Oryzias latipes: one gene and its partner. The protein of the gene in region 2 purifies or fractionates together with the protein of the main gene of each other region. This does not show direct contact. Links are inferred from orthologs where the notes say so. Each region holds a gene or a part of one and is shown on either strand. Other genes may lie near its edges.

The links.
Region 1: the proteins of cops5 (region 2) and klhl15 purify together in Homo sapiens (affinity purification with mass spectrometry; 3 studies listed by BioGRID and IntAct, with this or other methods). This does not show direct contact. The link is inferred for Oryzias latipes from reciprocal best matches to the Homo sapiens genes COPS5 and KLHL15.

Annotation. Positions count from the first base shown.
Region 1 is NC_019878.2:2,975,912-2,980,270, forward strand, and holds part of klhl15 (kelch-like protein 15), read right to left. Parts: coding exon 4,305-4,359; intron 3,395-4,304; coding exon 3,206-3,394; intron 3,128-3,205; coding exon 2,903-3,127; intron 2,118-2,902; coding exon 1,956-2,117; intron 1,593-1,955; coding exon 1,383-1,592; intron 1,197-1,382; coding exon 1,006-1,196; intron 927-1,005; coding exon 167-926; 3' UTR 1-166. UniProt on the Homo sapiens protein: Substrate-specific adapter for CUL3 E3 ubiquitin-protein ligase complex.
Region 2 is NC_019878.2:17,008,354-17,013,212, reverse strand, and holds the start of cops5 (COP9 signalosome complex subunit 5), read right to left. Parts: upstream 2,974-4,859; 5' UTR 2,825-2,973; coding exon 2,688-2,824; intron 2,608-2,687; coding exon 2,373-2,607; intron 1,813-2,372; coding exon 1,684-1,812; intron 1,308-1,683; coding exon 1,242-1,307; intron 1,012-1,241; coding exon 926-1,011; intron 780-925; coding exon 668-779; intron 1-667. Other genes in the region: cspp1 (centrosome and spindle pole-associated protein 1), read left to right, coding at 4,045-4,104, 4,227-4,307, 4,393-4,494, 4,613-4,859. UniProt on the Homo sapiens protein: Probable protease subunit of the COP9 signalosome complex (CSN), a complex involved in various cellular and developmental processes.

The DNA.
Region 1 (4,359 bases), about 14 Mb from region 2:
GAGCAGACGGTTAAAATGTGGCGGCCTGCAGCGCCGCGCTTTGCCCTCGTTCGGAAGAGCGGCGTTTTCTCACCTCTAAGTAAGTGCTGGTCTCTGGTTTGAAAGCGTCAGAAGTCCCCCCACCCCCCACCTGTGAACACCTGGTTCCTCGGTGGAGCAGCAGACCTCAGCTGCAGCGCCGCACGTGCTCCAGCACGTACTCTGGGAAGTGCAGGCTGCACACCTGCAGACCGTCCAGTTTGCAAGGCATCCTGGGATACTCGTCTTCCTTCCACTTGTTTTCGTCGGGGTCAAAGGTGAGGATGGAGTCACTGTAGTGGCCGTTGTAACACAAACCGCCAAGTACCATGATCTGTCGGTCCAAAACCGCCACCCCGTGGCCGCTACGCCCAATGGGCATGGAGGCCAGGATGGTCCACTCGTCGGTGTCGGGGTCGTACACCTCTGTGGACGGACACCCCTGCGACTCGAAAGACGCTCGCAGGATGACGCACACGCCTCCAAACACGTACAGCTTCCCGTTGTGGGAGATCATCTTGTGGAAGCACCGAGCGTAGTTCATTTTGGACTTGTTCTCCCAGCAGCTGGCGTGCGTGCCGGGCAGCAGCGGGCCGCGGCCGGAGCGCGTCCTGTGTGAATCTGAGCCGCCCGAGCTCCCTCCTCCGCCGCCGCCGCCCGCCTCCCGCCCGGGATCGAACACGCACACTTGCTTGGACGTGGAGGATGAGGTGATGCCGCCGGTGATGTACAGCTTCCCGCTCAGAACCGTCCCCTCGTGGCCGTACTTGTTGACAGGATAAGGATCCACGAACTCCCAGCGGTCCTCTGTGATGTCATATCGCTCGGTGGAGTAAAAGGTCTCGTCTCGGGTGCGTCCCGCCACCGCGTAGATGTACTTTCCAATGACGCCAACAGCAAACTCCGACCTGCAAGCGACGCACACACACCAGGTGGAGTCAGAGAGCGTCGCGGGGTCAAAGGGCGGCAGTTTCCTCGGCCCCTCACCTGGGCACGGACATGTCCGCCATGCGCTGCCACGAGTTCTGCCGCGGGTCGTAACGGTAAACTTTAGAGGAGGCGTGGAATTCCCCGTCGGGCCCCAGCTCCTCCCCGCCCAGCAGGAAGGCAAAGTTGTTGATGATGGCCAGACAGTCCGGTCTGAGCGGCACCTGAGGGCCCTCCAGCTCCCACCACACCTGCAACCAGAGTCAGTGAGGCGTTCAGGCGCCGCCGGTCAGAGCAGACGCATAACAACGACTAAATTCTGTTCCGTTACAGCTGAATGAATAGATTAAAGGAAGAGAAGTCAGGATTTAAAGGACTTTTAAACTAATCTAAATATAACAAATACAGATAGAATTACAAGAAGGATTGTTCTTGACCTTTGGCCGCTGCAGCAGCAGGATCTTGCTGTTGACCATGCTGTGGCCGATCATCCCCCTGAAGACCGTCGTCTGCGGCCGCACGGAGCGGATGCGGTTGGACTGCGTCTCCACCAGAGGCTGCTGGTTGACATCCTGGAAGTAGCTGAGGGCCTGATCCACCTCCTGCCTCAGCTGCCTGGAGTACCGGTAGAACTCAGACGTCTTCACCTGAGAGGAAAACATTAGAGAACATCAGAAGGGATGCATGGTGTTCTGCAGAGTGGGAGGCATTATGGGTAGCAGCGCCTTGTAATAAAGGGAAATATAGAGAGAAGCCACAGTGGGAGAGACAGACATGAGCTGGAGCTGCAATGCACTCATATAAATGAGGGCAGTCATTCAGAGGGGTGACATTCTGAGCTTCTTTTGGGTTTAAACTTCATGAAGGCGCCCCACAGAGAGGGGAAGCTCTGCTCTCTGAAACTGATGGTGGAGCTGAAACAGCTGCTCCTCTAAGCTGAAAACCACAGAGATCCACATCTGCTGCAGTCAAAACATAAACCACAAATCTGCAAACGTGTCAGCCACCACCTTCTCGAAGATGTTGGCGGGCGTCATGAGACAGAAGCGGATGGACTGCACGATGGTGTCCGTGTGCCTCCAGCGCCGCCGGTCGTGTCTCAGCCAGGCCTGGACGGCTTCGTACAGCTCGATCTCGGGGAAACGGCTCAGGGCGTCGCTGTTCAGGTACGCCTGTTCAGACAGAAACACGAGAGATGCATTATGGTTCTGACCTTACTGCAACGACTGCTGGCTGCTTAACCTACGTTTAGTTTGACCTAAATTAGTTCAAATGATCAAGTCTGTTCTCAAAAAGACACACAAACAAAAATCACACTGCTGAGTCCGAGGATTTCATCAGAATTCAGCCTAAATCGGATGTTTTGGTTTCCTCTCTGTACTGACAGTTCCTATCTGGCACGCTTAACGCCTGTGTGGTGAGCTAGAAAGGCTGCCGTGGTGCAGAGAGCGGGCAGTCGACCTCTGGTAGGAAGACTGCAGGTTCGATTCCTGCCTTGCCTGAACCCCCCCTTGCCTCTGGTGGAAGGTTGGCCACAGTGTTCGGCAGCGGAGCCGCCATCGGTGTGTGAAACGGGACTGTGACTGTAAAGCGCTTTGGACCTTCGGGGGAGGTAGAAAAGCGCTGAACAAGTAAACGCCATTTACCATTTAACGCCTGTGTGGTGAGGCAGAAACGGATCATTTTAGCGTTTGATCCTGGACCCAAACAAAGAAGCAGAACATGGAAACACGATGCAAAAACTCAGGGCGTCCTCAGAGAGGAGCGGCATTTCCAGATTACACCCAGATCCTGTTGCTGGAGAAGCTTCTTGTTTCAGGACCAGTTTAGGTTTAAAGATGAGATGGAATCGAGCTCTTCTCCTCATCGTTTGACTGAATCATTTTGTTGCCTGACCTGACCTGCTGTCAGCGTTCGGCGGCCTCATGCACGCGCTGAGCGTCTGTCTGTGGCAAACCTGCAGTCTCTCGAGGCTGAGGTAGGACAGGAAGTCGGCTCGGCTCATGAGAGGCACAAAGTTGTCAAGCAGGAAGTTGTCGAGCTGCTCCTGGACGCCCTCCACGCCCACGCTGAAGTCCTCCAGGAGCCGCATGACCTCAGCACAGTTCTCCAGGCAGATCTTCGCCAGCAGGAAGGAGCAGCAGAACTCCACCGCCTCGGTCAGCTGGACGTACATGGCCGCCTGCCGGGTCAGAACAGGTGTATCCCGTCAGCTCTGGTAAAGCTACAGCTTTCTGTGTCGTGGCGGGGATCCAGTTACCTGCAGGATCTCCTGCACGGTGGGCATGCTGAGCTCCAGCGAGCCGTAGTACATGAAGCGCAGGATGTGGCCGAAGCCGGCGGCCGTCAGCCCCTTCATGTGGATCTTGTCCTGGTCCCTCTCCCTCATGTCTGCAGTGAACATGACCCGGAAGTAGTCACTCTGAGTCGCCAGGAGCGCCTTGTGGGCCTGAAGGAGAAGAATCAACACATCAAGTCCTCTGGACCGTTCACTGGCTGAAGCCCAGCAGCAGCAGCAGCAGCAGCAGCAGCAGCGGCAGCGATGCACACATACACAGTGAACTCGGGAACACAAGGAGTTCATTAGCAATTCACCTCTGAGTTGTGGGCGAGACTGTTGGCATGGAGCAACCCCGCCCCTCTTCCCTCCGTGCATAATCCCGCTATCTTAAAGCTCCTCACAACCCCAAGCTAACATTAGCGGTACAACAAAAATTGTTAGCAATATCGTAGCTGTCCATCCGTCCAGTTCTGATCCAGATTCCAGTTCAGACCATGGAAACAAAGACGTTCGTGGATCTGTTTGTCTGACAGTGGATGATCAGAATGGAGCGGAGCAGGAAGACTGTAGCCTTCCCAGTGCAGCTTCTACATCACAAATACGATTGTTTCCAAACAGCATTCGTTCCTCTACTCCTGACTTACAACCATTTAAATAAATAAATACTCAGAAATGTAACTTTAAGCTTGTTTTTCTTCATCTACATCCTCCATCATGAGGAAAAAGCCACAAAAACATGTTAAAAACACCAAAAACATCTATCTTTTCCAGTGAGTGGGTCTTTAAGGGCCACTTTCCTGCTTTACTTCCAACAGCCCTGCTGGGGAAACCCCTCTAAGAAACACACCTGATGCAGGTGAACAGCAGCAGCAGAGGCAGGGATAACAGCACAACTGAATGCAGCTGTGCAGCTCAGCGGTTTGGGTTGGTCCGCCCCAAAACGCCTCTGCTTTGACCTCAGACGAGGCCTCTGAAGAAACCACACGAGGAGTTCAGGAGCGCGTCTCCAAACCCCCCCCCCCCCCCCCCCCCCCCCCCGTAAAAGTCCCCTCCACGGGTTCACTAAACGGTTCCTCACCTGGAAGTGGTGCTCCTCTATCAGCAGCGTGACGTCCAGCAGCAGGCGCTCCTCG
Region 2 (4,859 bases):
GCCGTCCAAGAGACAGAATAAACCAATGTACGCACACTTATCACACAAAAGCCAGATAACAGAGTGTTCCATAGAAAGAACTTGTTACAGACTAGCCACAAATCGAACCATCTCTGAGCTGTCCCGAAGGAAAAGAAGTCATGGAGAAGTTTGCTTAAGGTGAGGCTGTGTTTATAGTAGAGCAGGTAATTAAAACACAATGCCATGGGGGGGGCCTGACTAGGGTGACAGTGTAGCAACTGACAAAGCCCGTCACCTACTGAGCAGCTCCTTCTTGACATCTAGTCAATACATCTTCATCCAGAATGCCAGCGAGTGAACTGTTTAGATAAGCCTGGTGTCTATTTAACCCAGCTCAGGACCACAATGCAAATTCATGTGACGGCCTTTCAGTCTTTAGAAAAAACTGTGCTCGAGGGGCGGGGGGCTTCTGGATGAGTGGAGTCAAGTCCAACTTTAATACCCATCATCTTCTTCTGCTCCAAAGTTCACAAAGACCTTATTACTAAAAACAATAAACAAGCAGGGCCAGCTAAAAAGCAGCAATAAATCAACACATCACAACATGTTGACTCCATGTCTGAATGAGTTATAGAGTAATAATTAACCATAAATCAAAATGTCAAACAATTAGTGAACATTTTGAGTTTTGAGGTGGCTTACATACCGTAAGAAGGCTGGAGGAACTTAAGGTATTGACCCAATATTTGTTCCAAAGGAGTTCCAGGAGCTTTCGATCCAGAGAAGACTTGAAGTAAGTCACCTCCAAGGCGTAATATCTGAATAGAGACAATCATAAAGAGTTGAAAAAAAAGATAATTCAGGAGCATGTTAAATATATGCATCTTTGATACATAAAGTTTTGATAAATAAAGTTTGATTGATTGATTTATTAAGAGTGGTTTAGTGCTTTAAATTTACTCACTGTTTACAATGAACACCAAAGTCTTCTATCTTGTTCAGCGGGATTGTTTGATATTCTGATGGTCCTTCATCTGGAGGTTTGTAACCCTGAAAATCCACAAGGAAAATGTTAAAAAATAATACAAAATAAAAAAAAAGAATTAGCACATTTGTTTAATCATTAACAAGTAAACAAATTAAGACATTCTGATGTATATTTATGACAAATATTTATTCAGATCCCTCCTAAAAAAACTAACATCAACGATTCGAACTTAAAATTTAATTTATGACTTCAATAAGTCATAACACCATGTTTCTCTTGGTCTTTGCTGTACCTTTGGGTATGTTCTGAAGGCACCTAGATTGACTTTCCCTGCAGAAATAGTCCGAGTGGGGTCGATCTGTAGGACACAAGATACAGTAAAACAGGAAAACAAAGTCAAAGGTCGGAATCCTCCAGAGACCACTGGAATCAGTTCACTAGGAGCCTTTTTCCCGCAGCTGTCAGTGTGAAAAAAACACACACTTAATTATACGACGCCCCTGGCGTCGAAGCCCTGCTGAACTAAAGGACGTGTAAATAGCATATGGGGTTGCAAAAGGAAAATAGTCAGTAGTGCAATGCCAAAACATGCAGTGAATGCATTAATAGATTTTCATTTACGTTCTTGTAATGTTTTTTTTTTAAAGACGAAACAGGAACTTTCCTCCTCATTTTTTAAAAATTCCACTAGCAGGAAATTACATTAAAATAACGTTATAAAAGTTTATACGTACAACAACAGCAACAAAAGGCTCCTGAAACTGCTGGTTGAGCATCTGAGTGCTCACGTCGATCCCTGACAGCCAGCATCCGTAACCCGGGTGACTGTGGTACCAGCCAATGGCATTCTCCAAACGGCCAACCTGGGGGGTTAAAAAGATAAATATAACAAAATTATTCATAATTATTTATAATACAATATTATAAAGTGTTTATTGTTTAATACAATGAAAAGGTTTTACTAAATCTGACGTGGCTTGCTTAGTTTCTAAAAAATACGGAAACTATTTATGAAAGGAAATAGACAGACTTCAATAGGTCAGTCGGGGATAGAAGTTATTTTTAAGCTTTTAAAAACAAAAAAATGAATATTATAAATGCTCTGCTATCCCCAAAGATAACTGGAAACAGCGGGACAGCAACTCAAGAAAATCCAGGCTGGACTTATTCCGGCTACCTGTAGCCCACCAAAAAAAAAAAAAGAAGAACAGTCATAACGACAATAGAAACTAAATAAAAGATTAGAACACTTCAATAGACATATTGACATACTGAACACAGAACCTATGACTAATAAATCTTAATAAGAGACAGTTTTTCAACAATTCCACCAGGAACTGTGTAATCTGTCAAGAAGAAGTAATTGCTGCTGTGTCATTTCAGTGTTGGTGTATGTTTTTACAATAAAATAACATGATCCCACCTGTTTGGCGTTTTCAATGTAGGCAGCCATGTATTCGTATGCTGCAGCCTGCGCGTTCACCCTGGTTTCTGTTCCCTCCACAGGCAAAGCGAAGCTGTCCATGATGATCATGGTCTCCCCGTCCACCTTCCCCAGCATGAGACCCATCACCTCCAGGTTCCCCCCTGACCTGGCATGCATCACCATCTTCAGCAGGGCCAACGCGGAGATTTTGCAGTACTTGAAGTAGTGGTGACTAATGATTTGAGAAAAAGAAAACACAATTAGTTTACGCGACACAACAAATAGGAATGAAGTCAATCAGGTTGAAAGTACTCTTTTGTCCACGGCTTCGCCGCGAGGATTTCTTGTTGTTGTTTTTTGTCGTATTTGTAAATTTCATCGATGCTCTGGACTTCCTGCATGCTGTTCGACAGCTCCCACGTTTTCTGAGCTGTACTACTTCCAGCCATGATAAAGTGTCAATTCAAAATACGAAGAATAAGCGTTTCGAACGTCAGTGACAACAACACAAACAAAGAAATTGTGTATATCCGTCTAAAGTAACAGGGCCAGACGTTCTCTTGCAACGGCAGCCATGACAGGGAACGATACCAAAACAATGACGTCGAAAGATTGAACCTTTCTTTGTTGATTTGGAAAAATACAAAAGTCGAAGTTTCGTATCTTTATGTATTAAAATGGATCATTAATAATATATTGAAAAAATCAATACAATTTATGTAAGAGTTAAAAGTTCTGCTAAATGTACCCATCAATTCTGGTACTGTCACCCCTCTGATAATGGTTTAGTCCAAAAGAGACGTCAGCAGACACTTGAGGATGCACTGGCATCTAGCGGTGAGACTTGTAAAAAGCAGACAGGTTTGAGAATATTTTTTATCCTGTTTTTAGAACTTTGTTTTTTATTTAATGCATTGTATATCTAATAAAGACCCTAATGGGAGATAACAGTTATTAATGCTGCAAAAAAAAAAACTTCTCGAAAAAACACATTAGCGAACGTCATTGGTCAAGAGTAAAGGTAAAACATCAATGTTACTTCGTGTTTGTCATCTTATAAAGCTTAGAAAGCACGTTTAGGATTTTCAAAGATATTTTTATTGAAATGCGATTAAGTTTGTATGATTACCACATAAACTTTAGATATACGGAGTTTTTTGTGGTTTCGTGTTTGCTAACTTCTTTAGCCTGTGCCAACCTTTGTGTCACGGTTGCCCATAGCAACGCTTGCTGCGTTGCCATTTTAGTGCGGCGAAAACATTCAGAATAGTCATAAAAATGTCTAATTAATTAAGTATGTATCCTTTAGAGTTAGAGTTTCATCTAAGGTTTCATTTTTATAGCTTTGTTCACTGCCAGGTTGTGCTGTTTGAGTTTATAATGGAAAACACCTAACTTTCAATTTGCATGCACCTGTATGCTGAGAAAGTTCTTGAATCTGACCTTGGACAACTAACTTTCTGTATGAATGTTTTTCATCATTTGCAGGTGATGTGCATTTTGTAAAACTCTAGCATCCACAAAATATGGAACCATATAGCTTATCATAAACAAGATGAAGTATTTGTGGTAGTTTTAATTTTCAATCAGTCCAATTATACTGGCTATTTATTTGCTATGTTTTTCTCTCTCTCTAGGTTTTAACTGAGGCTTAGTATCAGAGCGTGAAATGGAGGAACAGAAACCTCTTCTGGATCTGCGGCTGGACTTCAAATATCATGCAGCCAAGGTCAGATATCATACGATTATTATAGGATCATTTAAAGAGAATTTTTGTTGACTGTGTTACCTCTGATTCTCCATTCTGCCAACTTATTTTTCTATTTTTTATTCTTACATGTACCTTTTAAGGAACACGATTTAAAAACCTGTGAACCTCATCCACAACACCAAGGGCTTTCCTTACCTATTGATGATAGAGCATCCATAAAGGTGTGTCCTTGTGTGCACTATTTTTTTTTTTATATTGCCTTGTTCATACCTTTTATTTATTTATTTTGGGGTTTTTTTGCAACAGAAAAGACTGAGAGACGAGCTGAAAAAGGAATATAATCAATTTCTTCAGGAGCAAGCTCAAATAAGGAAATTAAATAGGAGAGTCCTTCCTGTCACCTTTAAGGTAAAATCCAAGCTAACAAAGATATTTTTCCCAATATACAGGTTACCTGATAAAGAAATTGGTCTTGTTATTTGTGCTGTATAGCTGTGGTAGCTCTATTTAATATTATTTCTTTCAGCCTGAAGAAAGTCAACCATCCAAGGTTGTGAACTCAACTGGTGAAAATCATCACCTCTTGATTAAACCCAACACAAACACAGACAGGGAGCACACTGCATCCAGGACGGACGCTGCCACCCTGACTGAGGATGCAGGAGAAAGAAGCACAGGGACTCCAGGCCCACAGTCACGGAGGAGGTGGAACATCCCTAAAGCAAAAGGACGTCAAGGTTCTGAAGACGGAGAGAACACCGATGAAAGGGATG